Diceros bicornis minor: one gene and its partner. The protein of the gene in region 1 purifies or fractionates together with the protein of each later gene. This does not show direct contact. Links are inferred from orthologs where the notes say so. Each region holds a gene or a part of one and is shown in the gene's direction. Other genes may lie near its edges. The genes, in order: PFDN4 and PFDN5.

Evidence for each region.
Region 2: the proteins of PFDN4 (region 1) and PFDN5 purify together in Homo sapiens (affinity purification with mass spectrometry; 5 studies listed by BioGRID and IntAct, counting the BioPlex papers as one, with this or other methods). This does not show direct contact. The link is inferred for Diceros bicornis minor from reciprocal best matches to the Homo sapiens genes PFDN4 and PFDN5.

The regions. Positions count from the first base shown.
Region 1 is NC_080758.1:8,630,595-8,646,319, reverse strand, and holds PFDN4 (prefoldin subunit 4), read left to right. Parts: upstream 1-8,355; 5' UTR 8,356-9,606; coding exon 9,607-9,690; intron 9,691-10,911; coding exon 10,912-11,019; intron 11,020-11,823; coding exon 11,824-11,964; intron 11,965-14,957; coding exon 14,958-15,089; 3' UTR 15,090-15,149; downstream 15,150-15,725. UniProt on the Homo sapiens protein: Binds specifically to cytosolic chaperonin (c-CPN) and transfers target proteins to it. Binds to nascent polypeptide chain and promotes folding in an environment in which there are many competing pathways for nonnative proteins.
Region 2 is NC_080756.1:16,968,750-16,984,365, reverse strand, and holds PFDN5 (prefoldin subunit 5), read left to right. Parts: upstream 1-8,075; 5' UTR 8,076-8,110; coding exon 8,111-8,182; intron 8,183-8,355; coding exon 8,356-8,458; intron 8,459-8,769; coding exon 8,770-8,801; intron 8,802-9,734; coding exon 9,735-9,809; intron 9,810-9,925; coding exon 9,926-10,031; intron 10,032-11,042; coding exon 11,043-11,119; 3' UTR 11,120-11,249; downstream 11,250-15,616. Other genes in the region: ESPL1 (separin), read left to right, coding at 223-1,211, 1,638-1,980, 2,182-2,343, 2,960-3,173, 3,274-3,464, 4,008-4,135, 4,271-4,393, 4,891-5,046 and 6 more; MYG1 exonuclease, read left to right, coding at 11,484-11,699, 11,860-11,972, 14,431-14,590. UniProt on the Homo sapiens protein: Binds specifically to cytosolic chaperonin (c-CPN) and transfers target proteins to it. Binds to nascent polypeptide chain and promotes folding in an environment in which there are many competing pathways for nonnative proteins.

The DNA.
Region 1 (15,725 bases):
AAGGTGGACTTGGTTGGCTTGGGTCTGGGGAACACTACCACGATCCTTGGGCGCCCCCTGCAGGCACTGAACAAATTACCACCTGATAAGGGGTTGGCTCCTCTGCCCCTCACTCCTCAAGGCCGGTGTGGAAGGGTAATCCCATCCAGATTGCCGTTTTAAGTCTTAGAACCGAGAACCTGGGCAGACATGGCAGATTTTGGAGGCCGCTCAGCACGTACTGCCATGAAATGAGCTCATTATCGTCTTGCGACAGAATCTAAATTAAGCCGAGACATGTCTGGACAATTTTGTACCTTAGGTGTGAATTCAAATAGAAGCTATTTTTCCCTTTAATTTTCCAGTCAACATACTTACTACTTCTTTCTTTGTATCTTCTTCATAGAGTTTTCATACTGGTACTTACATAGTCTTTTATTGTTATTTCATGTGTTCTTGTTATAGCTATTAATAATACACTTCCATTAACACTCATCTTCTAACATACTGTATAACTTGCTTCTATATTTTAAGTATGGTCTGTGTCCCACCACCAGAATGTAAGGTGCATGAGGATGAGGAAGTTGGTCTCTTTTTGTCACTGTTGTAGCCCCACTGCCTGCACCTCCCTTCGTGATCCAGTTGAAGGGAAAGAAGACCATCCTTTACCCACTCTGGGTCCTATCTGGCTAGGCTACAAATTAAATTGACGCGAGACGGAATAGCAGGAGAAAATCAAACAAAGCTTTATAACATGTATACATGGGAGAGACCCACTGGGTAATTGAGTATCTTGACAAAATGGGGAGGTTCTCCTCTTAAATAGATTTAGGTAAAGACAAAGGAGGATGTTGGGGTGGGGGAGTCAGTTATGGGAGATTACCAGTAAAGCACAGTAAGGTTATTATGCAGCCTTGTGTTCTACATTGATAAGTTTCTAGAGATGAGGTCATTCCCTCCTCTTCCCAGTACAGAGAGGGAGCTACATTTACAAATGGAGATCTTCCTTACAAATGTAAATGTTTGGTAAACAGAACTTTGATAAGAACGAGCTTAGCAAGGACCCTCCAAGTCTATGGATCAGTTAGTAGGGGGAGAGGTCAAAGTGTCTTTTAGAAAATAATCAAGGTAAAGAGACATATTTTGAGACAGCCAATTCCAACCTCCCAGTCAACATGCCACAAATGCCAGAGGCTTCATTGGCTACTCCAGTGAGACAGGAGCTCTTCCTCCCCAGGACCCCTCAGCACTGGTCCCAGGGCTGCAGCCCAGGTGCTATGATTAGTGGTGACATATGTGTGTCAACCGTAAGCTCCTCGAGGGGCAGCACCTTGTCTAATTCACATTTCTTCTCTTTCGCACCAGCATCTACAGATTTCAGGCAATGCACACACAAACCTCCTCATTTAGATCTGCGAGAACAGAAGCCTGGGGGGTGACAAGTTCACATCCCTGGAGGGCGTGACAGGTAAGCACACGGACGGGGCAGGTGGGGATCTGGGGGGGCCCTGGGGAGGGCCTGCTGGCTGCATGGGCCACGCCTGATCAGCACCAGCAGCTGCTGCGCTGCAGGAATGCAGGCTTAAGGTCGCCAGGACTCTGATTTTACAAACTCAAGCAAAACAAAAAATCTGGTACTGTCAAGTGAAATCTCCTAATTTTCATATGTTGGTTCAATTTAAGAAAAATACTGTGTGGGTCAAAAATGCCCATATCTTGGGTCCAGTCAGTGGGTGGCCAGTTTTCAACCTGGTGTGTTCATTCACCCTCAGTGGGGATGGCATTTTCCAGTGGTTATTGGTGACTTTCCTTACTGACCTGCGGTCTCCAGGTGTTCCCCCAAGCTTCTTTCTTTTGCTGGTCCAAAAAGGTAGGGACAATCCCCAGCTAGAGAAGAACCAGAAACAGAGGTTGGAAATGCTCAATATTAAGGAGTGAGAGGATGCATAGAAGAAGACCTGAAAGTCCCCATTTGTACATGCAGAACTGGTTTTCCTGCTAGGAAAGAGAGGAGCTCAAAGGACACCCTGGGCTGGGGCGGGGAGGGGGGATAGGGATGGCGGGAAATAGAACGAGAAGGAGGACTTCTGAACCGGAGGGAGCCAATTCAGCACCAGGGTCGCCAGGGGTCACCCCGCCGTCCTTCTGTCCAGATTAAACGACACTCCCCCATGCCAGGAGACTCTGCTCAGCCCCTATGGTACCCAGGCCTCGTGGACAGCCCCATCTGATGACCCAGAGCTCCCTCATAGAAGACACCCAAGAGCCCTTGAGTCCTTCCTCCTCCTCCTGGTTTTCAGAAGCCCAGCCCAGTTTCCTATTTAGGCAGCCATGTTTCCAACCTCAAGGAATCAGTCCTAATTGTGTAAGGTAATCATTAATCCAGCTGCTTTTGCCAGTGACTGAAGTGGGCATAAGACAGACATAAGGGCAAGAGGGCTGGGAGATTCTGAGAAATGCTTTCCTCCTCAAGAGCGAGAGAAAGCAAGAGAGCGCGAGAGCACAGTGGAGAGGACAGTGAGATCAAGCCAGAGGAGCAGAGGCCACGAGGGGGGGGGGGGCGCCGGCCCCTTTCCCCTCTGCCTTTGCACGCTCTTGGATGAGGACCTGATGCTAGGGGAAGCAGCAGCCATCTTATGATGCTAAACGGAAGGCCAAGGACTCACAGAATATCTGACTGAAAGCCATAAGGTCTGCTATGGTCTGAATGTTTGTGTCCCCCCAAAACTCCTGCGTTGAAATCCTAGTGTCCGATGTTAACGGTATTAGGAGGGGGGGGCCCCTGGGAGGTGATCAGGTCATGAAGGTGCAGCCCTCGTGAAGGGGAGTAGGGCCTTGTAAAAGAGACACCAAAGAGCTCCCTCACCCCTTTCTCCACGTGAGTCACAGAGAAGGTGCCAGTTACAAGCCAGGAAGAGAGCCCTCCCCTGACCACGCTGGTACCCTAACTCGGACTACTAGCCTGCAGAACTGTCAGAAATAAATGTCTCTTGTTTCTAAGCCGCCCAGTCTGTGGTATTTTGTTACAGCAGCCCAAACAGATGAAGACGACTTCTTTGCGCTGCTGATCCAGCCCAGCCATCCCCCTCCTCCCTAAGAGACAATGACTCCTCCTTTCCTCTCCTCTTCCCACGCTGGCTCCTCCCACTCTGGTTAGCCTAATAGCCACCTCCAGAGAGCCCCCCCCACCACTCCCTTCTGTTCTCTATCTCAGCACCTCACATGTTTCCTTCATGCGCTCGGCACCATTTGGGATGATTTTGCACTTCTCCTCCGCTGTCTGTTTCTGCAGTGCCTTTAAATTTTGCTGTCGTTTGTGAGCTCTTAAATGAGTGTCACTGAGGAGCATCTACAATGTGCCAGACGGTGCAAAGATTTAACCCCGAAAAAACTCCTTTATCCAACGAATACATACTGAGCGTATAGGAGCTGAACACTGTGAAGACCTAATGCAAAGGGCTTGGAGTCTGGAGCTCTGACCCTGACAGAACAGGCAATGCTCACGCAAGGCTAAGTGCTTTGGTAGGGAAAGCAGAGGGTGCTACAGAGTTCCATTCCCCCGCTTAACCAAGGAGGAAATTGAGACTTTGAGAAAGGACACTTGTCTAAAGCAGTTCTCAAACCGTGGTCCGTGGACCCTGGGGTCGCTGAGATCTTTTCAGGGAATCCAAGAGGGCCTCCCTTTTCCAACTACATATCTGTGTGAGACCACATTTTCTTCATATACATCAACTAAACAACATATCGCAAGAGATTGAATGCAGAAGCAGATATGAAAAGCTAACCTTCAATCAAGCCAGACATCAGATTTGCAAAAATGTAAAACTATGCCCTTCTCTATTTTTTGTCTTGGAAAAGATAGTTATTTTTAATTTAAAATGTTATTTATATTAATATGGAATTTTTTTATCTTAACTGAATTAATATACATTTTTAAAATTCTTAGTTTCAATTTCTAATATGGTAACTATCGACGAATATAACCCACATAAGTAGACGTTCTTTGGGCTCTTCAATAATTTTTAAGAGTTTAAAGGGATCCTGAGACAAAAAAAAAAAGAATCGAGAGGCACAAGTGTCAGAGTATACCGTAACTGCTCAATAATATGTTGAATAAATTAATAGGAGTACTCCCTCCTTTACACCATCTGAATTATCAGGGCACATACATCTCACATCTTATCGCCAAGGTCATTCATCCTCAGCTCTTTTTAGGCAGGTCGATTTCTTACGTGGTTGGCGGGACTGCTTTCCTTCCGGCCCCTCGTGGCCTCGCCCCCGGCCCTGCCCCGCGGTGCTGGGCGCCCCCTGCTGCCCGCCGCTGCAGCCTGCGGCCGTTCGCCACACCCCCGAGTTTCTGTCGGCCCACAGGGAGTCGCCTGTCCCTTTAATTGGCATGTACCAAGTCCTTCCAGGGTACATTTCCCCCTGAGTCCCAGAAGTGAGGGATGATTGGTCGAAGATCCCATCGGGGGTTCTGTGGCGAGGGTGTGTGTTTCGCGGGAGTCCCGGGCCGCCAGGGAGTGAGGGCGAGCGCGGGGCAGCAGCGCGCCGCCGCGGCCCTCCCCGCCCCGCGCCGTAGTGCAGTCCCAAGATGGCGGCCACCATGAAGAAGGCGGTGAGCGGGGCGCTCGGGGTGCGGGATGCGCGGCCGCGGGGGGCCGGCCGCGGGGCTGGGGCTGCGCAGCCCCGGAGCGCGGCGGGGGCCCGGGGCCGCGGCTCCGGACCCTGAGGGCGGCCCCGGGCGAGGCCTGTCGGCGCCCTGGGCGGCTTCGTAGGCCCCCGGCCGGCCGAGGCGGAGCGCCCGGGCCGGGACCCTGGGAGGGCTCGGGGCCGCCCCTCGCGGGGCTGAGGATGGCCCTGGCCTTGTCCTTGGGGTGTGTGAAGCCGAAGGTCCATTGACTGCGGTGGGCCATTGCGCTGGCGCGTACCTGGGTTGCCACATTTAACCCTCACGTGTTCGCAAGGATGGGTGCGACTGTCCCGTGCTGTGCGAGTAGGGAAGCTGAGGCCCAGAGAGGGGGAGCCGCTTCCCCAAGGTCACGCAGCGGGAGGGGGCAGAGCAGGACCTGCACCCCCTGTGCCCAGCCCCGACACGCCCAGGGGCCCGCGCGCCCTCCGGGCCGAAACCGTGAACATTGATGATAGACGGTGGGCCGCGGCCCAGAAGCGGTCCGTTTATTAACTCGGATCTTCCAGCAATTTAGCGAGGACACGGGTCGCCCCCCACTTTGCAGGCGGAGAAACTTAGACACAGAGCGGTTAGTGGCCTCAGAGTGACTTAGCTAATAAGAAGCGGAGCTGGAATTCAAACTCAGGTTTTATTTTGTTTTTCCAAAGCGCTGCTTTTATCTCACTAAGCAAGCGAAACTTCTATTTAGGGTTTATAATCCAGTAGGTCTACCCAGATGCTTAAAAATATACAGGTAGAAGAAAAATAAAATAGGGAGGGCCAAGGAAATAACAACGTGATAATTATTGCAGGTTTACTGTGTGCTAGGCACAGTTGTAAGCGGGTTGCATGCATTATTTTGATCTTATATTGCTTTTAGGGAGATACTGTTTTTATCCTTATTTTACAGATGAGGAAACAAACACAGAGGCAAAGCTAGGATTTAAATCGACACAGGCGTTCTGACTCCAGAGCCTGTGTTTTTAACTTCCATGATGTCTGATGAGAGTCCCCGAGCTGAAGGGGTTTGTTTTCCAGGTTTTGTATATTCGCTTTCATTCCATTTCAAACCCCCCATGAGAACTTGCTTTTTTGGCTGTTTTACTCTGCATCACTGACATTGTCTGAGCCACCTGCTTCTGGTGTAGGGCAACCAGCCATCCCGGTTTGCCCGAGATTAAGGGAGAGCTAAAACTGGGAAAGCCGCAGGCAAACCGGGATGAGTTGCTCACTCTGTTGGTCTGTCATCCACAAATTCTGATTGAGTACCGGAGTAGGGTTCAGGGCCATGGTGATTCACACTGGTATGGAACTGTGAGATTCACTCGGCCTCTATTTTGTATTTAAATTGGGCCCTCTGTTGTTAGGTATGCTGTTAATTCCACAGAAGATACTAGTTGTGGTTCATCCGCTTTGACAGGTGTGGAAACTGAAGTGCAGAGAGATGACAAATGTTGAGGAAACGGTAAAAGAATGATTTGAATACTAGACTTTGCAAAACTTTTGATTACCAACATTTTTTCCTTTCATTCATTGAACAAACTTTTGAGCGTCTAGTATGGCGCAGTCTCGGGTTTAGGTGAGGGAGGTAACCATGGTGAGCGGTAATGAAGTTCTTACTGCCTTGTCAGCCGGTAGAACTGGTGCTCTGGGGGAGAGGCAGGCATTACTCAAATAGTCACATGGAAATCTGTCAAGTTTCCAACGCCAATAAGAACTATGAAAAAAAAAGTGCTTGTGAAATGAAGGCTGGAATAAGGTCTGTTTTGTGATCTGAGAAGGTGGGATCTCTCAGATTACGGAAGGAGAGGGAAGGAAAGTTGGCAAGAGAGTGAGGCGTTCTAGAGAGAGAGTATCTCCTGCAAAGACCCTGCGTGCATTTAATAAAAAGGAGGTCAGAGTGGCAGGGAATTGGGGGAGGAGAGGATGAACCTCCTCTCCTAAGGGGTAGACTTACAGAGGGGCAGGTTGTGGCCAAAACAGCAAGGATTGTCTTCTGTATCTTGGTAAGACTGGCACGACAGGTGCAGCGTCCTCTTGTGGACGTTTGCAGTGCTGTGGACAGTTTCTGATAGGTTAGCTCTGTGTACTGGACGCTTCACCTCCCCCCACTCTAGGAGGAAACATTTAGGCAGGCCAGTGAGTGAGAGTGAGATACCATAGGGCCAGCCCTGTAACAGAAATTGTTTGCAATATGCGGTATTTTACATTTGTAACACATTCTACCTCCCGACAGGTCATGACTTTCCTGGTGAGAATGTTTAGATGAGATGATCCAGTCCTTGCATCTCCAAAGTTCTGCTTTCTAAGAACGGGTTCTTGGCATGAGAGGGACTGTATTGTGATTTCTGTTCGTTGTCCTGAGTACAGCTGTCCCCTCCCCAGAGAGGCCATCTTTGACCTTCCTTTCTAAAGATGCCCCCTTCACTCCCAGTGAAGCACTCCCAGTGCTTTCAGCTCCTAAACTATTTTTCTTTCCCCGTCACACGTATCACCATGGAGCACGATCTGGTTCCCCTTATTTTTTGCTCACCTGCTCCACCAGAATGTACGCTTGCCTTTGTTCATGAGGGTAGGACTGTGGCTCTCTTTTCACGGTGCCTGGCATATAGGAAACACTAATTATTAAATGAATCACTGTAGGCATGAAAGGTGAATAAGAATACAAAGCAAAATTTTATATCACAGAGACTTGGTAGATACCTTTAAAAAACAAAAATAAGAGCAGACTGAAATGGCCCAGAATTTCCTCCTGCTAGGCTTTTAGGGCAATGAGGGACCCAGCTGTCAGTCCAGATTCTGCTGGTAATCCCCAAACTCAGTGTGGGGCGTGATGGAGTATGGTTCCCTTTCCTCCCAGAATCCCATGAGATAATGATTCTCAAGAAAAGGGTACAGTCAGGGTTCAGGGAATTTTGATTTTCATCTTGAACCTTGAGCAGTTATATTTCGCTTAGGCCTAGCAGGATTTTCCTGTAGATGTGGGTCTGTTCTTCCTTTGTAATGAGTTTTGGTAAACATTATTCAGGAAATAAAGCACTTAGCTATCATTTATTTATTTATTTATTTTTTGTGAGGAAGATCAGCCCTGAGCTAACATCCATGCTAATCCTCCTCTTTTTTTGCTGAGGAAGACCGGCTCTGAGCTAACATCTATGGCCAATCCTCCTCCTTTTTTTCCCCAAAGCCCCAGTAGATAGTTATATGTCATAGTTGCACATCCTTCTAGTTGCTGTATGTGGGATGTGGCCTCAGCATGGCCGGAGAAGCAGTGCGTCCGTGCGCGCCCGGGATCCGAACCCGGGCCGCCAGTAGCAGAGCGCGCGCACCCAACCGCTAAGCCAGGGGCCGGCACGAGCTATCATTTATTGAAAGGTGACTCCATCCCCAGGACCTATGCTAGGTGCTCATTTTATCATCCTGGCAAGGTAGGAACCAGCTTCCCCATTTTACAGATGACAAACCTGAGGTGGCTCTGAAGAACTGAGTACTGTACAGTAGTCACCCCTTATCCATGGCCTCACTTTCTGGGGTTTACTTTCCTGCGGTCAACTGCGGTCTGAAAATATTAAATGAGTGAGAGAGAGCACATTCACATAACTTTTATTACATTATATTGTTACAGTTCTATTTTATTGTTAGTTATTGTTGTTGATCTCTTACTGTGCCTAATTTATAAATTAAACTTTATCTTGCTATGTATGTATGTATAGGAAAAGACATGGTATATATAGGGTTCAGTTCTATCCGCAGTTTCAGGTATCCACTGGGGGTCTTGGAACGTATTTTCCCGTGAATAAGGGGGGCTTCTGTAATTTGCTGAAGGCTCCTGCTCACTTGGATTTGAATCCACTTTACTATTTCTACCACCTGTGCTGCCTCAAATACTACAGAATAACTCCTTCCTCTTGAATTCTTAAGACTTGTGAATGGAAGTAACTACATGTGGCTTCTCTTAAATCAGGAGTTCCTAACTTTTAGGGGTGTGGATCCCTTTAAGAATCTGATGAAAGCTATGAAGACTATTCCAGAAGAATGCACATACAATACACACCATCTTGCATACAATTTCAGGGGGTAAATGGACCTCTCAATGTCCGCTGACCCTCAGTTAAGAATTACCTTCTCCGTGCCAAAATGATGCTTCAGGCAATGTAGATCAGTGAGATTAAAATGGAAGCCACTGCTGTTAGTCCTGGAAGGTGCTGACGTCTCACTTTTCGATGTAAACAGCACTCCACTGGGTGGCACGTAGTTTAACCCGTGCGTATTTCCCTCACACGCGGATGTTAGCCCTGCACCCCGGGGAGAAAACCACCGTTAAGGAAATGAACTCCAGGGCCAAGTGTGCTGGGGCTGCTGTCTGGTGAGGCTGCGACAGGAAACGCCTGCTTGGGAAAGATAGAAAGCAGGTGCCACATTCCCTGAACAGCTTTTCAGAAACCGGGCGTGTGTGAGTCTGATGGAGCATGGTTTAGATCCAAATCCAGAGACAGTGCGTTAAGCCTCAGATATATCAGGCAAGCCCTGTGCTAGGTGCTTTCACGGGAATTACTCCGTTAAACCTCACGGTGAAAAATGCATCTGTAAATACATATTCAGGTTTTCAGGGGCTCAGTATTTAAACTGTAGGCAAGCAGGAGCTGTTTAGAATTCTCTGTTCCCTCTTTGCCTAGGGAATTGATAGCTCTTATGTAGGCAAAACGTCTTGAATACCAAGTTATCTGCACGTGGACTTTCTTTGGTTTCTGTCGTGTAGCTCAGTGCTTCCCGTCTTCTGTATTCATAAAAACTAGGCACAAGGTTGAACATTCAAAGCTATATATATCGTGATGTAAAGGAATTTTTCAGGATGTCCTCTGGGTCTCTGATGATGGGCCTGACGCATGTGAAACTGTTAGTTGGATGAAGAGAGCCTGGGCCAGGGGAGGGCTGAGTTCTAGGGGTCTGCCTTTATGTTCTCACCGCTGAGTCCCTTATTGCCCGAGACAGCAAGTTGCCCTTCAAGCTCTGGAGAAGTCAGAGTGGCAACAGACCAGGTGAAAGGATGGGTGGGGTGTGGGTATCGTGAACCTATTGCTGTTATTGGCAAAAGAGCCCAAAATAGTCCTTGTGGAAACTATATCTATCTTTCCCTCCTTTAAATTACAATCAAGTGCTCTTGTTCCTATTTTATAAATGAAGGGAAACTCGAAAGAGAGTCTGGTATTAATTTGTTTTTTTTCCCTAAATATGTGGTCCCCCTTTGAGAGTCTGATGAAAACCAAGAGCTTCCTGCTGCCCTTCATGCACACACACTTTCGCCTGTAACTTCTAAGAGCTCGTGGACCTGTCTGGACTCTGGAGTTGCAACTACCTGGGTTGAAATCGAGCTTCACTGCTTATCCTTTGTGTGGCTTTGAGCAGATTATTTAACCTTTCTATGCCACAGTTTTTCCCTCTGTAAAATAGTGGTACTAATGATCCTGCTTGTTAAGATTGATTGGAGGATTAGCAGAGATGATAAAGCACTTAGAAAGTTCTTCACATGTAGTAAGAGCTCAGTAAATGTTAGCTGTTATTTTTATGGTTTCATAGATATTTTGTCATCTAACCACTCTAATTTTATTTACAAACTTAATCACATTAAATATTTTTAAACATTCAGTATTCATCATTTTACGGTAAATTACACATTACTCATAATTAAGACATGTAAACAGATTCTACATTAAAATAAATATAATTTTTACTATTTGTGGAATATAGCCACTGGAATGCATAGTGACCCTCTAGCCAGTGTATCAGTTAGATTAAAAATTATAGAAACTGTCTGATTTCTGATAGCGTCAACAAGCTTAAGCAAGTTTTAACTCTGAGAGAATAAACTAGTATGAGGCATTTACCAAAATTAATTACCACGTCACTTTTTGCTCCCTGGGTTATCTTGATGAAAGAATGTTCCAACTTCAGGATTTCTGCTCTAGGCCAAAAGTTGGCTGACTTGATTGAGGACTTATTCTTAATTGATGTTTATCTTTGAAATGTTTTTGTAGCTTAGGCATTATTCCATAGAATATCAGAAGAGGTTATAGATTTAGGAACAAATCTTAAGCTCGTGGAGCAGAAAATTAATAAGGCCTATGTTTGTGGTATTCTTTACATCTTGTGGTTCTTGACTATGTGAGGGCAAACAGTTTATTGAGTTATTTCAGAGTTATATAAAAAGCTAACCTGTAACTTCTCCATTATACTTAATGCTACAAAAAATGTTTTTTCAGGCTGCAGAAGATGTCAATGTTACTTTTGAAGATCAACAAAAGATAAACAAATTTGCACGGAATACAAGTAGAATCACAGAGCTGAAGGAAGAAATAGAAGTAAAAAAGGTATTGAAAATATGTATCTTATTGAAGAAAAATAAAAGTTCTTTATACTATAGCTTTTTAACACTAAATTCAATAATATGTGATTGTGTCTCTGGGCTCTTTGTTGTGGATGACATAATCCACGCCGGTTAGTTTAAGAGGAAGGACGTTGTTCAAGGGGTGTGAGGTAATGGAGAGATTGTTGAGGGGTGTGACTCTAGGCTGAGGTTCCAGGACCACATCTCAGAACTTGGCTGGTGACGGGACTGCTGTTGTCTCCACTGATCCCAGAGCCGGCTCCTCCTCCCCAGTGAGGAAGCTGCCCCTCAGACCTAGGAGCGCGGGGCCGCCGCCGCTGCCCGCCCCTGTAAACCAGGGGCCTTGTGCCCAGCCTCCCTCCTCAGGCAGCTCCTGAGTTGAAGTCCAGTTCGAGGGCATTTGCTTGCTGGGATTGAAGTTATTATTTGCTTTCATCCTGTCATCAAGCGAGGCTGAGAAATGTCCGTTTGTGTTTCTGTGTTCGCTCTTCCCTAGGAAGGCAGAGCTCACAAAGTAGGAGACATTTTGAGTGGCCACAGATGCCCGCTGTCCACCACAGGTTCTTCCAGCAATCTGGAAATATCTAGAGGACGGTGTGTTAGTTAGCTCTTAAGTGCTTCCTTATGAAATGTCATCTAAAAATCTAAGAACGTCTTATTTTAGTGTGATAATGCCTTGTGAAAGGGTCCCTCAGAGGGTCAGTGTCCTCAAATTAATATTGGCTTTAGCCTCTTATCAGGGTATTTTGAATATATTTTTCATTGCTGTTTACTTTTGTGTTTATAGAAACAACTCCAAAATTTAGAAGATGCTTGTGAGGACATCATGCTTGCAGATGATGACTGCTTAATGATACCTTATCAAATTGGGGATGTTTTCATTAGCCATTCTCAAGAAGAAACACAAGAAATGTTAGAAGAAGCAAAGGTGTGTTGATGTCTTTCCCTGAGTGATGAAGTCTAACTCATAAATTAGGGTTTATATCATTATAAAGAACATTTAATATAGGTGTAGGGAAGATAATGGATTCTAGCTAATATTTTGTGGGTTCTCACAATGTCCCAGGCATGCTCTGAATGCTTTGCAAGCATGATTCTATTTAATCCTAACAATGACTCTATGAGATAGGTGCCATTAATCCCAGTGTAGAGTTGAAGAGGCTTAGAGAGGTTGTAGGTCTTGCTCAGAGTGACACAGAGGGAGTGATCTTCTGACTCCAGAGCCTGTGCTCTACACTAAAAGTATTTAGAAAGTACAGAATATTGTAAAGTGGGAAAGACAAATCACCTGTAATCCCACTACCCAAAGACGATCGTCCATAATGAACATTTTCATGTATTTCTCTTATGTTCTCTTCTCTTTCTCTGTGTAGTTTTGCTTCACATTTTGGTCAGTTAACATCTAGTAGGTGTATTTTCTCATTCCGTTGAGTGTACATTCATTTGTCCAGCAGATACTCACGGGGAGCCTGCTCTGGGCCAGGCACACGTGCTTTAAAAGCAGCATTTTTGATGACTGTTTAATGGCACGTTGGAGGACGTTGATTCAGCTCGCTGTCCTCCTGTGGTTAACATCAACTTGTTTCCGCTATTTCCCCATAGCAATATTGTAGCGAGCATTCTAATACCTAAATCTTTGTTCACATTTAGGAAATTCTTTTAAGGAAATAATGAGAGAAGCGTAATTAATTACCGCATCAGAGTATGGATTCATCGACAACATTTGAGGCATTTGAGACATCGTATGAAATTAGTTTCCAATTCACACGCCCTCCAGCTGTGTATGAGAAGGGCAATCACATTGTGTGTGAGAAGCTGATGGCAGTTAAACATTTTCTAAATCTTTTAAAAAAGTGCTTAATTAACTTGAATGTTATTTAAAATGATAGTCTCCTTTCTTCAAATGTCGTAGAAAGCAAAACTTTCCATGAATTAAACCTACATTTAATAAACCTTGGGAAGAAGTAATACTTTTGCCCCTGGATCTTTCCATGCAGAAACATTCATTGTGTCTGCCCTTATGTTTAAATCTTTTCTTTTATAGTAAAATTTTGTAATTTTATTCCTCTTTTATTTTAACCATCCTAAAATATTCTTATTGGAAGTATTTCAAGATGGTTTGTGGTTTTTGTCATTATTGTGAACATCATCTTCCCCCCATACTGAACCTTTATTTTTTTATTTATTTATTTATTCATTCCAGAAATATTTATTCAGTGCTTACTTTTGTCGGGTTCTACCATGTACTAGGGACACAGGGGACAATGAAACATGCCAGGTCCCTGCTCACGTGGAGTATATAGTCTAGATAGAAAGAGAGAAAATTAAGCAAGTAAAACTAATAATGAGTAGAAAGTGCTATGAGTGTAGAGCTGCCTTTAAGAACACAGAGCAGGGGGTCTATACTGATCTAGACTCAGGGTTCAGCGAGGGGCTCCCTGGGAAAGCGATGAGATGACAACTGAAAAATCAGCAAGTCTTAGCCAGAAACTGGGAGGGACTGCTCAGACGGAAGAGACAACGTGTGTGAGTGAGTGGTCATAAAAAGATCCTGGTACAAAGATAGAACTGAAAGATGTTTAATTGCCAGGAGATTTGGGAGCATCTGAACATGTGGCCAGATCTTGAAGAACTCTGTCAGTTGAGTTGAATAAATTGACTTTATTTTAGCAGAGGTCAGCACACTTACTGTGAAGGGCCAGATAGTAAATATATTAGGCTTGGTGGGCCACCTGGTGTCTGTCATAATTACCATGAAAGCAAGATGTGTAAATGAACACCATGGCTGTGTGCCGGTAAAACTTCCCAAACCAGCTTCAGGCTAGATTTGGCTCCTGGGCTGTAGTTTGCTCACCCTTGTCCTAGGGCAAGAGGAGCCTTTCAGGGATTTTAAGAAAACAGTGATATGCTAAGACTTGTGATTTTAAGATAATTTTCTTGTATGTTGTAATTTTACTTATTAATTAGGTTTTCTATGTGTAGAAATTATCTTCTTTCTAATAGCCGTACATTTTGTTTCTATTTCTTGTCTTAGAGCAGTGGTTCTCAGACTTTTAGCATGCATCAGAATCACCCACAGGAGGGCTTGTTAAAATTCAGATTGTTGGGCCCAACCCCAGGAAGTTCTAATTCAGGAAGATTGGGGTGGAGCCCTAGAATTTGTATTTCTAACAAGTTTCCACGTGATCTGGGGGCCACACTGTGAGAACCATTGGTCAGATCTCTAACAGAATAACATTGTCAATACTAGGCATTCCTCTTTTGTTCCCGATATTAATGGATATACCATTTGTATGGTTTCATATTTTCTTTGTCATGTTTGGGAAGAATCCTTTTTTTGATCTTAGCCAGGAAGGAATTTCTGAAATTTCATGCGTTTCATGTGGGCAAAGCTGCTCTCTCTTATAAACAAGGCACTCATTACTGCTCTCTCTCAAAGTCTAGCTCCAGGGTCCTCGTAATTAGTGACAATTTCTGCCAGATTTTGACTGTAAGTTGTTATTCTTAATTATGGGTGGTAGTGTGAATTTTTATCATTTCTTCTAGTTTCATAGTTATTTTTGTTGGAAGTTGGAAGAGGTTGTGTCAGAAGCCAGGCCTATGATAAACTGTTTACCAGAAGTGTATGTATATGATTCTTCCTTTATTAGGGTATGATAATTTAGGAATTAATTTTCTTTTATCTGTTGTGGGTTTTAAGTCAGCAAAAACTGGAAAAAAATTAAAAAAGCTTGATTTATTCTATAGTAAGCAAATATAGACCATGAATTAAAAATGCCCACATTCAGACTTTTGTTATTTAGCTGCCTGTCCAAGTTTAGAACGTTTTTGACCTAAAATCCTTCCCAAATATAACTTCATCCACAGATGCTCAGAAGTTATTCAGTTGAATAGAATTAATTTAAATTATTTTTTTTCCAGAAAAATTTGCAAGAAGAAATTGACGCCTTAGAATCCAGAGTGGAATCAATTCAGCGGGTGTTAGCAGATCTGAAAGTTCAGTTATATGCAAAATTTGGGAGCAACATAAACCTTGAAGCTGATGAGAGTTAAACATTTTATAATACTTTTTTTAATTTGTTTAATAAACTTGAATATTGTTTAAAATGATAATTTCCCTTCTTCAAATGATATGGAAAGCAAAACCTTCTTTTTTTAATATTTTCATTTATTTAATGGAAACTTGCCTATTTTCACGTCTTGCTTATTTATTTTATATTTTTAAAAGAAAACAGTATTCATCTATGTATTTTGCATAACAATTATATCAAGTGTAGGGACTTTATGTCATGTTATTAAAATCAGTTAAGCAATCTTTTATGTTTCCATATTATCATTTAGAATATTTGTTGCAGTTTTTCTTTATATATATAAGAAAATTTAACAGATGTGTCATGTTGTTTATATGTGTCTGTTTGAGTTGCTCTTTAGAGATGGTGGAAGCACTACAGAAAGATCCAGTCCTACATCTGTCTACTCATTTCACAAGTAGAACTTGGTCACATACTAAAAAGTATGTATATATTTTATTTACATATATGTAATATATATTATGTCTAAACATATGTATTTCACATATCTCTTACATATATATCAATATCATAGATCTTGGAAGAAGAACCAGATAATGCTCACACGTGTTGAGGCATGTTGAGCTTCATAGCAGCAGAGGAGAACAATAGAACAATA
Region 2 (15,616 bases), on another chromosome or scaffold:
ATATATACCAAAAATTTTTAATCTCACTCAGGTTTTAAAAGATTTACAAGCTTGTTTTTAACCTGATCTGTGTTGCCAGATGAGGGAAAAAAGTTTTGAAATAAATTATTATCAAAAAAATGAAAAATTCTGGGTAGCTGGCATTAGTAGTATAACTACCATTTCTCTTTGGAGTTATTCATTTCTCCCAGTTTTGTAATTCTTGTTCTGCTCTCTCCGCAGAATTTGGTGGACTAGCCCAGCACCCAGACTCTGTGAAGAAGGTCCTCCCACAAAAGGGGAGGCAACAGGCCCGAGTCCCCTGTCCTCCGGACCTCCCAGAGGAGGAGCCCTTCCTAAGAGGCCCTGCCCTGGAGCTGGTGGCCACTGTGGCCAAGGAGCCTGGCCCCATAGCACCTTCTACTAACTCCTCGCCAATCCTGAAAATGAAGCCCCAGCCCAGCCCCAGCTTCCTGACCCATTCGCCCACCTGTGACTGCTTGCTCTGTGCCAGCCCTGTCCTCTCCACAGTCTGTCTGCGCTGGGTGTTGGTCACAGCAGGGGTGAGGCTGGCCTTGGGCCATCAGGCCCAGGGTCTGGATCTGCTGCAGGTCGTGCTGAAGGGTTGCCCCGCAGCCACTGAGCGCCTCGCCCAAGCTCTGCAAGCTTCCCTGAATCACAAAGCACCCCCCTCCCCTGTCCCAAGCCTCTTGGATGAGATCTTGGCTCAGGCATACACACAGCTGGCACTGGAGGGGCTGAGCCAGCCATCAAACAAGAGTCTGGGGAAGGTCTTGGAGTCAGGACTGAAGTTTGTGGCAGCACAGATACCCCACCTGGAGCCCTGGCGAGCCAGCCTACTCTGGATTCAGGCCCTTGCAAAGGTGGCTGGCCTCAGCTGCTGCACTACCCAGCTCTTTGCAAGCTCCTGGGGCTGGCAACCACCACTGGTAAAGAATCCCCCAGGCTCAGAGCCCCCTAAGCCTCGGCACCAAAAGCATTCTGGACGAGGGCGCCAGCAGGTGGTCTCTGCGACCCCACCCCTCCATAATACCTCTCTGAAAGGTCTGGAAGGTGGAGGACCACCCTGTACACCTAAGCCCCCGGGCCGGGTCAGGCAGGCTGGCCCTCGTGTCCCTTTCACCGTGTTTGAGGAAGTCTGCCCTACACAGAGCAAGCCTGAGGTTCCCAAGGCCCCCAGGGTACAACAGAGGATCCAGACACGCCTCAAGGTGAGGTGGGACTGTGGCTAGGTGGTGTTGGTGTCGGGTGGGGGTGGTCCTGGAGAGGAGCTCTGCAGAGCAGGGGTCTCTATGGAATAGCTTGCAGGGGCTGATGGGACCTTCAGCTCTCTGGTTATCTGCAGGATCCCTACACACGGCAAGGCCTAGTTCCAAGTCTACCTTTGTTTCAGACAGAAGGCACTTTCCTTAACTCTACCATTCCTTTCCTTTATCCTTCCTCCTCATCTTCTGTTCCCTCCTTCCACACCCAAGAGTTGCTGCCCCTGGTTGAGTGTGGTGGGTGTACATGGGAGGTTAATTCTTAAATCTTCCCCAAAGGCCTCTGTGATGGTGCCCCCACAGCGCCACCTGCTGGCAGACGATGTCTTGTCACTGAAGACCCCCTGGCCCTTCTTCCCTTCCCACCCATCCCAGGTGAACTTCAGTGATGACAGTGACTTGGAAGATCCTGTCTCACTTGAGGCGTGGCTTGCAGAGGGGCCCCAGAGACGGAGCACTGCTTCCCGGGGCCGGGGCCGGGGCCGAGCTAGGAAGGGCCCGAGCTCGAAGACTGATGCGGTGGCTGTCCCAGGTAGTGCCCCTGGGCACCCTGGCCTCGGTGGCAGGAGCCGGAGGGCCAAGAAGGTGGCATCAGGACATTGTGAGGAGCTGGGCCCCGAGATCATGAGGACCATCCCTGAAGAGGAACTGACTGACAACTGGATGGAAATGAGCTTTGAGATCCTCAGGGGCTCTGATGGGGAAGACTCAGCCTCAGGTATGATGGCAAGGGTGGGGGATAGAAGGTGCATGTGTTTTTGGGGGGTTGCCCTGGGGCCAAAGCACAAGAAATGACTGGTGCCAAAGATAGTACAGAAAGAAAGTTCTTTTGCTGGCTCTGGAACTGGATCCTAGAAGGGAGAACAAAAGGGATGGCAGGAGGAGGGAACTCCACAGAAAAGTCATGTTCTTTCCCCAGGTGGGAAGGCACCAGCGGCAGGGCCTGATACAGCCATAGAAGAATGTGAGGTGTTGAGACGGGATGCCAGCAAAGAGGAGCTGCCCATCCCGGGCCCAGGCAAGGAGAGAGACAAGGATCTCGGTCCTTGGCTCCAACTCCCCTCGGCACCTGCAGCCATTGGTGAATATGCTGACCACCGAGGTCTGGTCATTTGGAGAGGGCTGAGTCTCTAGGTCTCTTGATCCCAGTGCCTTTCCAGTCTGTCCTTGGTTCTGGCTTTGGATCCCCATCTTGTTCTAGTTGCCTTTGAACCTGGGTTTGAATCTCAGCACTCTCTCCACTAGCTGTTTGCAAGTCACTTAACCTCTCTGTGCTTCTATTTTCTGTTTTTTTGGGGTTTTTTTGCTTAAGGAAGATTAGCTCTAAGCTAACATGTGTGCCAGTCGGCCTCCATTTTGTATGTGGGTCGCCACCACAGCATGGCCACCGACAGGTAGTATAGGTCCACACCCAGGATCTGAACCCAGGCCGCCAAAGCAGAGTGCGCCAAACTTAACCAATAGGCCACGGGACCAGCCCCTGAGCTTCTATTATCTTAATTGTAAAATGGGGTTTGGGGAGGACGGATTAAGTTGATGCATGTAAATTGTGCAGCACCCCGCTTGGCACATTGCCCTTCATAAATGCTAGCTGCCATTTTCCAAGTGGGAAATGAGCTAGGGACTCCTTTGTGTAAAGTTCCTGTCAGCTAGGAAATAGGGGATTCACTGCAGCGAGTGTCTTGACCTTCCTCCAGGTCTCTCTACCCTGGATTCCATCTGTGACTCACTGAGCATCGCTTTCCGTGGGGTCAGTCACTGCCCTCCCAGTGGGCTCTACGCTCACCTCTGCCGCTTCCTGGCCTTGTGCCTGGGCCACCGGGACCCCTCTGCCACTGCCTGCCTCGTCACCGAGTCTGTCTCCATCACCTCCCGCCACCAGCTGCTCACCCACCTCCACAGGCAGCTCAGGTGAGTGCCCACCATCCGCAAGGCTTGTGCTGGAGCAGACTGAAGGGAGAGTCCAGACTCTGAAGGAGGGAGAACTCACCCCTACTTGTGTTGCCTGCAGCAAGGCCCAGAAGCACCGAGGATCGCTCGATATGAAAGACCAGCTGCAGGGGCTGAGCCTCCAGGAGAGGCTCCAAGACGTCCCCCTGGCCCGCATCCAGCGCCTCTTTTCCTTCAGGGCTTCAGGATCTGGCCACTTCCCCCAGCCTGAGAAGAAGAGTTTCCAGGAGCGCCTGGCTCTGATCCCCAGTGGTATGGTGGCAGCCTCCGGCTGGCGCGCCTGTCCTTTCATGCATCTTCCTGCTGAGGAGTTGGGTGAAGGTGCTGAAGGCATCAGTTAGTTCACGTAGTTTTCTGATCCTTATAGAAGGACACGTCATACCTTTTCATTGATTAGTCATTTTGTTACTCTCACCAAACAGACATACTGTAAATCTGGAAGTCTTTCTTTTTTTGACCTTAACTTTGAGTTACCAGCAAGTTAACTGTCTTTCTTTAAGGATAAGTGCGGGGGTCCAGGGTCTTCCTACGCTCACATGATACAGGTTCACAGGGGATGTGAGTGCCTCACTCTGCAGGGCCCTTTGTTAGTTTCAGCGAGGGACACAAAGAAGTACAAGACATGGTCTCTTTCCATAGGGAGCTGTTAGGGCAAGGGAGAGCACCTTGCACTCCAGTGACCACAAAAGACTTCTTGGAGTTGTCTTGAGTGCAGGATAGGGATTGAATGCAAAAGACAGGGAAGGGAATTCCTTGTGACAGCTGAAATGATTCTGGCTATGTCCTGTGTGTCAGGGGTGACTGTGTGTGTGTTGGCCCTGGCCACCCTCCAGCCTGGAACTGTGGGCAACACCCTCCTGCTGACCCGGCTGGAAAAAGACAGTCCCCCAGTCACTGTGCAGATCCCCACTGCCCAGAGCGAGGTAGGTGTCCTGGGCTAGGGAGCAAAGTTGGGCTGGGGTGGGCTTCTGGTCAAGCCGCTCACATTCTGTGGCTGGGGGGTGGAGAGATGGTGCTCACATGGACAAGCAGATATCTCATAGCCCCGTCTCCCAAAGCTGCCTCTGAGTTTGGCCCTGAAAGAGTTTGATGCCATCCAGAAGGAACAGAAAGAGAACAGCAGCTGTACTGACAAGCGAGAATGGTGGACAGGGCGGCTCGGACTGGACCACAGGATGGAGGTGTGTGCCCCCAGGGGGGGTGGGGTCAGGCTGCCCTAGGAACGATCTGGAGTGCCAATGTCCTCTCTCACGGGTCCCAGCTCAGTGCCGAGCCACCTCTAGCCCTTTCTGGAAGTGTAGGCCTAAATAAAAAATTATGTCACTTGGGAAGGACTTGAGACAAGAGCCCAGAACTTGAAGGAGTTATGACAATGGAATGTTTAAAGATACACACAAGAAAAAGGATTTAAGCCCAAGTGTCAGCTTCACAGTTTTGCTGTCATTGCCCACCTGTTCGTATTTGTCAAAACATAGTGATAGGTAATAAATCATCTCATCTGTACTGCCCCCAAGTCGCAGCAGATGAAACATGTTTCTAGCTTCTTGCCTTCTATGACTGGCAGAAGGAAATGTAAGACAGAGACACACAGGAAAACCCATTTCCTCCTCTCGGTGTCGGTGCCTGTGGGAAAGAAACTCGGCTCCCTCTCTGCCTGAAAGTTCCGTTCTACATTCAGGTTCTCGTCACATCGCTGGAGAAGGTTGTGTTGGGCTGCTGGAGGGGGCTGTTGCTGCCATCCAGTGAGGACCCCGGCCCTGCCCAGGAGGCCTCCCGCCTACAGGAGTTGTTGCAGGGATGTGGCTGGAAATATCCTGACCCCACTCTGCTGAAAGTGAGTTGAGAATCAGGGAAGGGGCAGAAGCTAGACTTAACTCCTTCCCACCTGCCACTGTGAGCGGAGCTGGAGCTGTGGCATTCACTGACCGCTGTGCCCCTGCAGATCCTGCTCAGTGCTGCCAGTACTCTCACTGCTCAGGACGTGCAGGCCCTGGCCTGTGGGCTGTGCCCTGCCCAGCCAGAGCGAGCCCACGAGCTCCTGAGTGAGGCCATAGGGCGTCTACGGGGTCAGGCGGTACCAAGCAATAGGCACCTTGTCTTAGTGCTAGACAAGGTAAGGAGCTGGGGCCCGAGGGGCAGTGTCTGGTGGGCAGTGGGCACCTATTCACCCCCACGCCCCTTCTGACTCCTGCGTATACCTGGCTAGGGACAGTAACCTCTCAGTGCTTTCTGCCCAGGACCTGCAGAAGCTACCATGGGAGAGCATGCCCAGCCTCCGGGCACTGTCTGTCACTCGGCTGCCCTCCTTCCGATTCCTCCTCAGCTACTCCATCATCAAAGAGGTTGGGGGTTCAGGGAGTGGGGCATGGGGGTGATTGGTGATTGGGTGGGACTTGAAGAAAGAAAATGCAGAGAGACCTGGGAAGAAAGGAAAAGGTCTTAGGAATGGATCAGTCATGGCAGGGGCTTAGAGTTTGTGGGGCTGCAGCCCTCTGGCCAGACCAGGATCCTGATAACCACTGTCTCTTCCTCAGGCTGGGGCCTCATCGGTGCTGAGCCAAGGGGTGGATCCGCGCAGTACCTTCTACGTCCTGAACCCTCACAATAACTTGTCAAACACAGAGGAGCAATTTCGAGCCCATTTTAGCAGGTCGGGGGGATAAGAGTAAGAAAGGGGGTGGAGAAGGGTGGCGACAACATGCAGGCACCATGTCCTTTTCTCCAGAATGAACTGTTGCAGCCCACCCTCTCCCTAGCGTTCCTTCTGCCCTCTTTGCTCTGTGGCCCCTCTTCTTACTCCTGCTTTTTCCCTGCAGTGAAGCAGGCTGGAAAGGGGTGGTCGGGGAGGTGCCGAGTCCGGAACAGGTGCAGGCAGCCCTGACAGAGCATGACTTATATATGTGAGTGCTTAGGGCAGGGAGGTAGGGAGAGGGGCTGTCCCAGAGGAGGGTATCATCATGGTTTGCTTTGGGGCTTTAGAGCCCCTGGCTGAGTCAGGAGGCCTCTGGAGACATAGCAGAGGCCTGATACTGCTCATTCAGGCTCCTCTCACCTCCTTCTGCCTCAGCTATGCAGGGCATGGGGCTGGTGCCCGCTTCCTGGATGGACAGACTGTCCTGCGGCTGAGCTGCCGAGCAGTGGCCCTCCTGTTTGGCTGCAGCAGTGCAGCCCTGGCTGTGCATGGAAACCTGGAGGGGGCTGGCATTGTGCTCAAGTATATCATGGCTGGCTGGTGAGTCTCGAGAGGCAAAGCCCATCCTAGGTCCCCACCCCAGGTTCCTTCCCAGGTCTGAACCCTAAATCCTTCTTCTCTTGTACCCCACCTTCCTCCCATCCTAGTCCCCTGGCATGCCTGGGACTTTAATCCTTTACCCTCTTCTCTCCTCTTAGAACTATGGGCCCAGGGACTTCCTCATTGGCTCAATTCTCTCTACCCACCCATCACCAGCCAATCATGTTTTCCTGTGTATTCTGTTTTAGAGCCTTTACTCTGTATTTCTTCCTTCTTTTTTCCCAGCCCCCTGTTCCTGGGTAACCTCTGGGATGTGACTGACCGTGACATTGACCGCTACACGGAGGCTCTGCTGCAGGGCTGGCTTGGAGCAGGCCCAGGAGCCCCCCTTCTCTACTATGTCAACCAGGCCCGCCAGGCTCCCCGACTCAAGTATATTATTGGGGCTGCACCTGTAGCCTATGGCTTGCCCGTCTTCCTGCAGTGATCCCTTGGAACTGTCCTATCGCTGATAGAAGCCATGTGACTGTTCTACCTCCAAACTTAGATTTAACCCTTAGGGTAAATTTTAAGTGATTTTCCCCAGTGTTTTATATGAAACATTTAACATTAATGTAATAAAGACACATTATTTAAATCTTGTTTTGTGTAATTCATTTGAAGACAAGACTATTGCCCCCCACCGACCATGTGGTACTATAAACAGATGAGAACAGCTCACAGGAGTTCAAGTCTGAGAGCCTTGGGGAGAAAGGCAAAACCACAGGACAAAGCTGGGCCTGGCTTGGCCTCAGCAGACAAAGCTGAAGGAGAGAGGGGCATCAAAATGCCTTAAGTGGGGACAGAGGCCCAAGGAAGGGTAGAGAGAGACCCACTGGGAGCGTCCTGAGCAGGCACCATCATTTCTGTCCTGTCTTCCTGCCCTCGGGTGTCCTGGCAGTGACATTAGCTTTAATGCCTCAGTTGCCCCCCCCAACTCCCAAAGTTGGACGTTAGAGGCCGTTCTCTCCCCACACACAGCTGTTACACTGGTCGGTGCCGTGCACTTCAGCAGCGGATTTTGTGGGGCTCCGCTGTTTATGCATGGTTTCTGTCTCCCCAAAGAGATTGTTAAGCTCCTCAGAAGCACAGACCTCTCCCCTATCCCTCCATCTAGCACACGGTAAGACATTGCATTGATTAATAAACCTTGTGCCGTACTCGTCCGTTGATAACGTGGCTCTTGATCATGCTCTCCACCCCTAGACTCCTCAGCTTCATGCCGACAGCACCACTTTCACGACGCTACTCCCCCTGACCCCGCACTTCCCAGGCGTCTTCCTTGACTCTCAGTCACCGGGTTTATACCATCCACGTGGAGTAGCATACATTGCTTTGCAAAATTGCGGTTATGGCCTGAGTACTTTTAAGATTTTTAAGTTCCTTGAGGGCAGGAGTCCTGTTTGCCACAATTTTACTACGCTAGGCTTGGGATGTCTTATGCAGAGAACGCACAACTACCTTCTCTCATCAAAGGCGAGTCTGAGAAGCTCAGCCCCTCCCGGGACGGGGATCATAGAGATGTCTGGCGCAGCGAGGCCTCCCGCGCAGCCATCGAGGCGCGCAGGGGAAGGCTAGAGCGCTGCTCGCAGAGCCGCCTTCCGCTTCGCTAGTTCTCCTCCCCAACATGGCGCAGTCGGTTAACATCACGGAGCTGAACCTGCCGCAGCTAGAAATGCTCAAGAACCAGCTGGATCAGGTGGGGACGGGCCCCAGAGACAGCCCTTTCCCCCCTCGCATCCCTCCTGCCCACGCGTACTCCCTCGCCCCCCTTCCTCCCCACTTTGGGAAGCTTCTCTTCCCAGGTGAAACCCCCATCAGGTCCCAGGACCCGCAGGTTCCCACTCTGACCCTCTTTCCCGTCCTCTGTAGGAAGTGGAGTTCTTGTCCACGTCCATTGCTCAGCTCAAGGTGGTACAGACCAAGTATGTGGAAGCCAAGGACTGTCTGAACGTCCTGAACAGGAGCAACGAGGGTATGGGGTAGGCGTGTGAAGGCAACCGGGGGGTGTGGCGAGCCGGCTTCCTCTCTCGTCCCGCCTCCTAATCCAGTTGCCCTTACCCGAGACGAGAAAGCAATCCGTTACATATTGTCTGCCGCTACACGAGCCCTTTGCATGGTGCCTGCCTAGCATTGAAATGTACAGGACATTCCTCTGCTCCTGTTCCCCGTTTCCCTTCTTTTCATACTATCTCTGGGCGCTGTGTCATGTTGGAGTTCCCTTTTAACATCTTAACGTCGGAGGTGCCCACCTTCCCCAGATGTTTGTCTTAATTGCTTTTACAGGGAAAGAATTACTCGTCCCACTGACGAGTTCTGTATCCTTTCCACACGAACTGCTACCCTGCCCTCTCCTTTTCTCCTTCCCCCCTCCCCAAAAGGGGTGGGAGGTAGTTTTGATTATTCCAGAGTGCCCCCATGGTTCTGAGAACACTCTTATTATACACACTTCGTAGCTCTCCTGTCTAACCTGGGGCCAACATCCAGTCAATGCCTTGTGAGCAGGAAATATGTAGAATTGAGGTGTGATTATTTCCTTTTGCTGTTTGAGGATATAATCTAATATGGAGATAAAACTGGTGGTTTACACTTTTACTAATAACTTAGAAGACATAAGCAATAGAATAAGAGGATATAGAAACAAAGGGATTGGCTCTGTTTATTAATCCTCAATTTCAGCTTAATTGTGGCTCTTATTCCTAACCTTTTGTTACTAAGAAACCTGGGTTGTGTCTACCTGTTGAGTGTTTTACTTGAGTAAGTTATGACAATAGGGCACCTGGAGACTAGTCTGAGAACTGACAGGCTAAAAGAGAAACACAGGAATAGCAGTGTAGTAGGGATTGGCTAGATAATGAGCACTAAATCCATCAGGAATTAAGTAGTTCATAGTTGGGAGTGCTGAGGGGAAGTGAGGCTGGCTTTTCACTTTTCACACTCTACAGCAGTGAGAATATATTATGTCTTGTCTTTCTGGAGGGGCTAATGGGAAGAATTGTAAGAACTGCTTGGAGGTGGGAGATGGGATCAGGGTAAAAGTGTTCCAGCCTATGTCATTTTCTCCACAAGGAACCAGCTTCTCTGTCTCTCCCCATTTGGAGTTTATAGGTATAGTTCTAGGGCCTCCAGATGATTCAGTCCCTGTGCCTCGGAGATTTTTAGAGAAGGAGGGTCTTAGAAAGCCAAGCAGGCTAGTGACAGGGAATCATGACTCCTGCTGGGCTAGTTTTCCCTTAATCCTTGCTTCTCAGATGTATGTCCCTGGGAAGCTGCATGATGTGGAACACGTCCTCATCGATGTGGGAACTGGCTACTATGTAGAGAAGGTGAGTGGGAGGAAGCATGTGCATACTCCTGTGAGCGGGGAAAGGGAGTTTAGGGGAAGACTAGAGTGCAGCATTGGAGTCTCCTCTTAGCTCCTCATTCACCTCTGACCTTGCAGACAGCTGAGGATGCCAAGGACTTCTTCAAGAGGAAGGTAGACTTCCTCACCAAGCAAATGGAGAAAATCCAGCCAGCTTTGCAGGAGAAGCATGCCATGAAACAGGGTAAGGTTGGCCTGGGGGCACTGCTTGACCCTTTCTATATCTATGATAGAGAACATGGATTGCAGGTGAACCAGAGGGGTGTCCCCTTTACTGGACTAAAACCATGTCTTTTTCTTTGGTGTTTTGATGTGTTTATTCTCTAGATTCTGTGCATTACATACCTGCTATTTGTAGATTCCTGGGGGTGGGGCGGCGTGGAGACAGTGCTTGAGAAATTGAGAGGAAGAAAATCATGTCTGTGCCCTTGTGGAGCTCCTATTAATTAGGATGGAATGGGGGAGAAGATACATGTAAGTGAACACAGGAAAGAAATAGAGCCATGGGCCGGCCCCGTGGCTTAGCGGTTAAGTGCGCGCGCTCCGCTGCTGGCGGCCCGGGTTGGGATCCTGGGCGTGCACCGACGCACCGCTTCTCTGGCCATGCTGAGGCGACATCCCACATACAGCAACTAGAAGGATGTGCAGCTATGACATACAACTATCTACTGGGGCTTTGGGGGGAAAAAAATAAATTAAAATTAAAAAAAGAAAAAAAGCCTTAACTAAGTACCAGCAATTGCAACCCTGGCTGCTGCACATTAGAATCATCCAAGGAGGTTTGAAAAGAAAGCCTGGGCTCATCCAAACCAACTAAATCACCCGGGGGGTAGGGAGGGGGATTCCAGGGGTCAGTGTTTTTTAAAAAGCTCCCCAGGTGATTCTGTTACACAGTCAGGATTGGGAACCACTGTTCTAAAGGCAAAAATCTTTTCCACATTATAATTTCCTGGTTATGTCTGACTCATTGAATACTGTATTTTGTTCATTTTCCTATCCCAGTGGTTATATTGACTGACACAGTGTAGACTCTAAATTTGTGTTAGTGTGTGTCCCCCACAGTGGATCACTGTTAAAAGTTTTATTAACAAACTGTAGCAGGTTGTCTGCCTGTCCTTAAACGTCCCTGTCACTTTTCCTGACCTCTAGGTTCTCTCCTTTAGCTCCTGACCAGGCTCTGACTTCTTTTTCACAGCGGTCATGGAGATGATGAGCCAGAAGATTCAGCAGCTCACAGCCCTGGGGGCATCTCAGGCTACCGCAAAGGCCTGAGAGCTTGTTACCGAAATGGGGCAGAGGCATCCGCTTTAGCGGCCTGGGACTTTGTGGGCGTGGCTTCCTGGAGTCGGGGAAAGTGAAGGGTCTTGTGTTTCTTGCTAATAAACGTGCCAGCGGGACAGAATGTCGGTCTTTTCTTGCGTTAAGCAAGGGCCTGGTGATGAGCTGGGGGCGGTGGTCGAGAGGGTGTGCCCCTCCCCCCTCGCCGGAGCCTGATAAGCTTGGGAGTTGCGTACTCGGGAACCCCGGCAGCGTGCCCTCCCTACAGGGCGGTTACCGTGGCAACGGCCGAGAAGCGGAAGTGGGGCTGCGCGTCCGCTTCCGCTTCCGGGTCCCCCCTCCCCCGCGGGGAGGCTGCATGGGCTGCCGCTTCCTGCGCGGGTTGTTGCCTCTGCTGCGGCCGCCGCCACCCCTGGAGGCCCGGTCCCGCATGCTCGGCCCCGAGTCCGTCCCGCCCCCCAAACGACCCCGCAGCCACCTCATGGCACCGCTCCGAATCGGGACCCACAACGGCACCTTCCACTGCGACGAGGCCCTGGCGTGCGCGCTGTTGCGCCTCCTGCCCGAGTACCAGGTACGGTCCGCGGAAACGGACCCTGGGACCGCCCCTCACGAGGGCCCTGTGGTGGCTCGGGCCCGAGCACCGCCCCTCCCCGCGCGACTCCTCTGGACACCCAGTTAATCCTCTACCCGCGCGACCCCTGGCAGTCCCTCACCTCCTGTGTCCCCTGCAGGACGCAGAGATTGTGCGGACCCGAGACCCCGAAAAACTGGCTTCCTGTGACATCGTGGTAGACGTGGGCGGCGAGTACGATCCTCAGAGACATCGATATGACCATCACCAAAGGTGGGTTTCCAGATTCCATGTCTTTAGCTTCCTTGAACTTTCCTCAAGTTCAGCTCCACTTCAGCCGTCCGCTGCTGTGGTCCGTGTAAGCCAAGGGATGTGCCTGCCTCATCCTTGAAAGCAAACTCTTGAGTCCCATGGGACTACAGCCCTCCATCCTTCCAGCTCTGCCTGCTCCGGGCCCATCCACCTGGCCTTGGAGCTCCCTGAGCCCTGGCATCTGTCCCGGCCTCCCTTGTCAGTCGTCAGGCCCCTCCCCACTCACCTTCCTTGGCTCAGTCAGGCTTTTCACCCCCCAGCACCATCATCACCCCCCCTAGTACCCCAGCTATTCATGTGCCTTTGCTGCCCGGCCTCAGACTGCTGGGCCCGCGTGATTGTGCTGGTTGCTGACCGTTCAGATGTGTGTGGTCTTCTGCTTCATTTACACTCTTCCATCGGGAAATCTTTCTTTTTCAAGGGTACTCGGTTGTCCACAATACCGTTCCAATCCTTTCCCCTCTCCTCAAGCCCTACCTTATCAGACTCCCTCAGTGTGTGATCCTGCCTCTTAACTTTTCAAAGGAAATTGAGCTTTTTCTGCATGCACGTCCTCAGCTCCCTCCTTCCAGCTCAGGAAACACTGCTCTCTTCTGCTTGCCCCTTTTCCAATCTCTTGCTTTCTCCTCTGGGACTCCGCATCACAATTCTCCCACCAGTGTTTCTACTTCTCCTTGCCTACAGCCTAAAACTCTGCTTGAGCAGCATCTCCCGTCTTGGAAACAAAGGAGTGAATAAAAAACAAAACCTCCGCACATAAACCACACTGTTTACAGCGGTTACTGCTCAGGGATTATGAGGAGGTTTTATTTTAAGTCTCTAAGTACTTCTCTCCCTTTCTCTCTCTCCTTCCTTCCCTCCCTCTCTTTTTTAAGTATACATATTACTTTCATAAATGATGTTGGGAGGGAACCCTCCTGGTATTTACAGCCTAATCTCTCACCCTCACTTGTCAGCCAGTCTTCAAAAGAAGAGCTGACCCTGGCTCCACATCCCTTCCAATTCATTCCTTCATTCAGCCGGTTCTCTCCCAATCTCGCCACTGGAAATGCTCATGGAAAGGGCACCAGTGACCTCAACACCAAACTCGGGTTGCTGACTGAGGGTCTCACCTTAACTGACCTCTTTGTGGCACTTGACTATTGACTACTTCCTTTTTCCTAATGATTTTATACACATTTTTTTAAATTACGCACTTTTTGACACATAGAAGAATGTATTGAACATTTCTGGAATGTAAAACATAAAATGAATACCCATGAAGCAATCTCCCAGCCTAAGAACTAGAACATTACCATTACCGTAGCATCTGTACCTGTGCCGCTTCCCTGCTGCATCCCCTTCCTCCCCCAGATGTAGCAATATCTCGAATTTTGAGTTCATCATACCTTTGTTCTTGTGTATAGTTTACCAGATATGTCTGTTTCCATCAACAATTTATTTAGTTTTGCCTCTTTTTGAACCTTATGTGGCGGGTTATTGTCATTAGTCTTTATACCTTATAAATATCTTATATTTTTTGTATTTACTCAATATTGAATAATAAGTCATTAAAACAAAAAACGAGCTCCCTAGGTGGTTGTGGCGGACCGGTATTTAGAAATTACAGCTGTAGTTTCTACTTCCCTAACAACTGTCGTACCTTTTTCCTGTTCTCTGTCCTATTGCTGTTCAAACTCCTGCCTTCCTCGCTCACCTGGACCTGGTAATCTGGAGCTAATCTCCTTGCATCTGTTCTCCAGGATGCTGGCTGGCACAGTGCTCTTCCCTGCTTCAAATCTCTCAATGGCTCCGCATCACCCACAGATAAAGTTCAAACTCCAAAGTGTGACGTACAAGGCCTGCCATGATCTGGCCCCTGCCTACCCCTGCAGCTTTATCTTTTGTCACTCACTCCTCACACCCAAGCTGCCTCACTTGCAGTTCCATGAGGAGCCCTGTTTCTCAGCCATTGTACGTGTTGTTCTCTCTACTTGGAATGCCTTTTCTCCCTCACCCTTTTGTCTGGTGAACACCCACTAATTCATCTTGCAGGAATGACCTGAAGGCTCTCCTCCTGAACCCTTTCCTCATCCCCTCCCCCCTTTTCCTTGTTTAAAACTAGCTGGAGCATTCGCTTGCTTGTCTGCATTTGTCTGCCTTTAGCAGATGAACTTGGGGGACAGGTCTGTTTTTTTATCCCTAATATCTAAAACACAAAGCCTGGCATGTGGTAAGCATTGAGTTAACCACTGTGGAGTGAGTGCACGAATGGAGACTCCAAGCCAAGGTCCATGTTGACCCCTGAGGAGGAGCCAAAGCCTCTACAACTCCGGCAGTATTCCCCAGCCTCCCCACCCCACTTGTGCCTGCGTGCCCGCACACGCTGTGGGCTAACTGGAGCCGCTCTGCCTCAGCCCCGCCTCCCTGTGCTCCTCAGATCTTTCACAGAGACCATGAGCTCCCTGTCCCCTGGGAAGCCGTGGCAGACCAAGCTGAGCAGTGCGGGACTCATCTATCTGCACTTCGGGCACAAGCTGCTGGCCCAGTTGCTGGACACTAGCGAAGAGGACAGCATAGTGGGCACTCTCTATGACAAGGTGGGGACCTGAGGACAGAGGTGCCCCACACACACATCTCCACCAGGCCAGCTGGGAGTGGCACTCAGGAGTGGGCCTCGGGTCAGGGTTCCTGGCTCATAGCTGGCCCGCCACCCTCTCCCTCAGGCTCGTCTTCTCACAAAGGGATGGTTAATCTCTCTCCGACCTCCATCCTGGGGTGGTTGTGAGAAGTGGGTGGCGTACTATATGGGGAAGGGCTTTAAAAACCATAAAGCAGTGTTTCCCAGTCTTTTTCTTAACCTGACACACCTAAAAAATGAGTGTTCAACAACTTGGTAATAGCAAAGGCTGCTTATGTTTGGAAGCATATGGCTCAGAGGTTCTGGCTGCCCTGAAGGTGGAGAGGAGCCTATCTTAGACTGTAATTCACCGGAGGCACACAGGTTGGGAAGCTCAGCTGGATGGGTTTAATTATGGAAATATCTTCAGGTTCCACCAGTGTCCCCTGCAGCAGCTCAGCAGGTTCCTGCTGTTGGGGGAAGAAACAGGGCTAGTAGCCCTGGCGTGCATGTCAGGTCAGTGATGCTGAGGACACCCACTTGACCCTACTCCTGTGAAGCTCACAAGTCAAACTTCAGTCAACTCTGCTTTTTGCAGAATCAGCTGTTGAGTTCACTTCTGTCCCAGCTTGCCTATCTTCTGCCCCCATGACACAGCATTGGTATGATCCAAAACAGTGAAGAAATATGAACAGTTAAATTGGAGCTTTTGGAAAGTAAGGTTTTAGACTGCCGGGTCAACTTTTTCTTCTACTGCCGAGAGGTTTCTAAGCAATTGAACTAAATTACACCCAAGTTTTCACTGAGTATCAGGTTGGGGTCCAGACCAAGAGGTGCTGGGCATAGAGGGGTTTCCTTTTCAGCTCTCCCTGAGAGCAGCACTTTTTCTATGTACCACAGACGTGCTGAAATGCAGGCAGGCCTATTTCATAGGGCAGTTTTGCGTTAAACACTGATATATCGTTTCTGCCCCCAAATTCTTGAGGCATTGTCCTACCCACCCCCC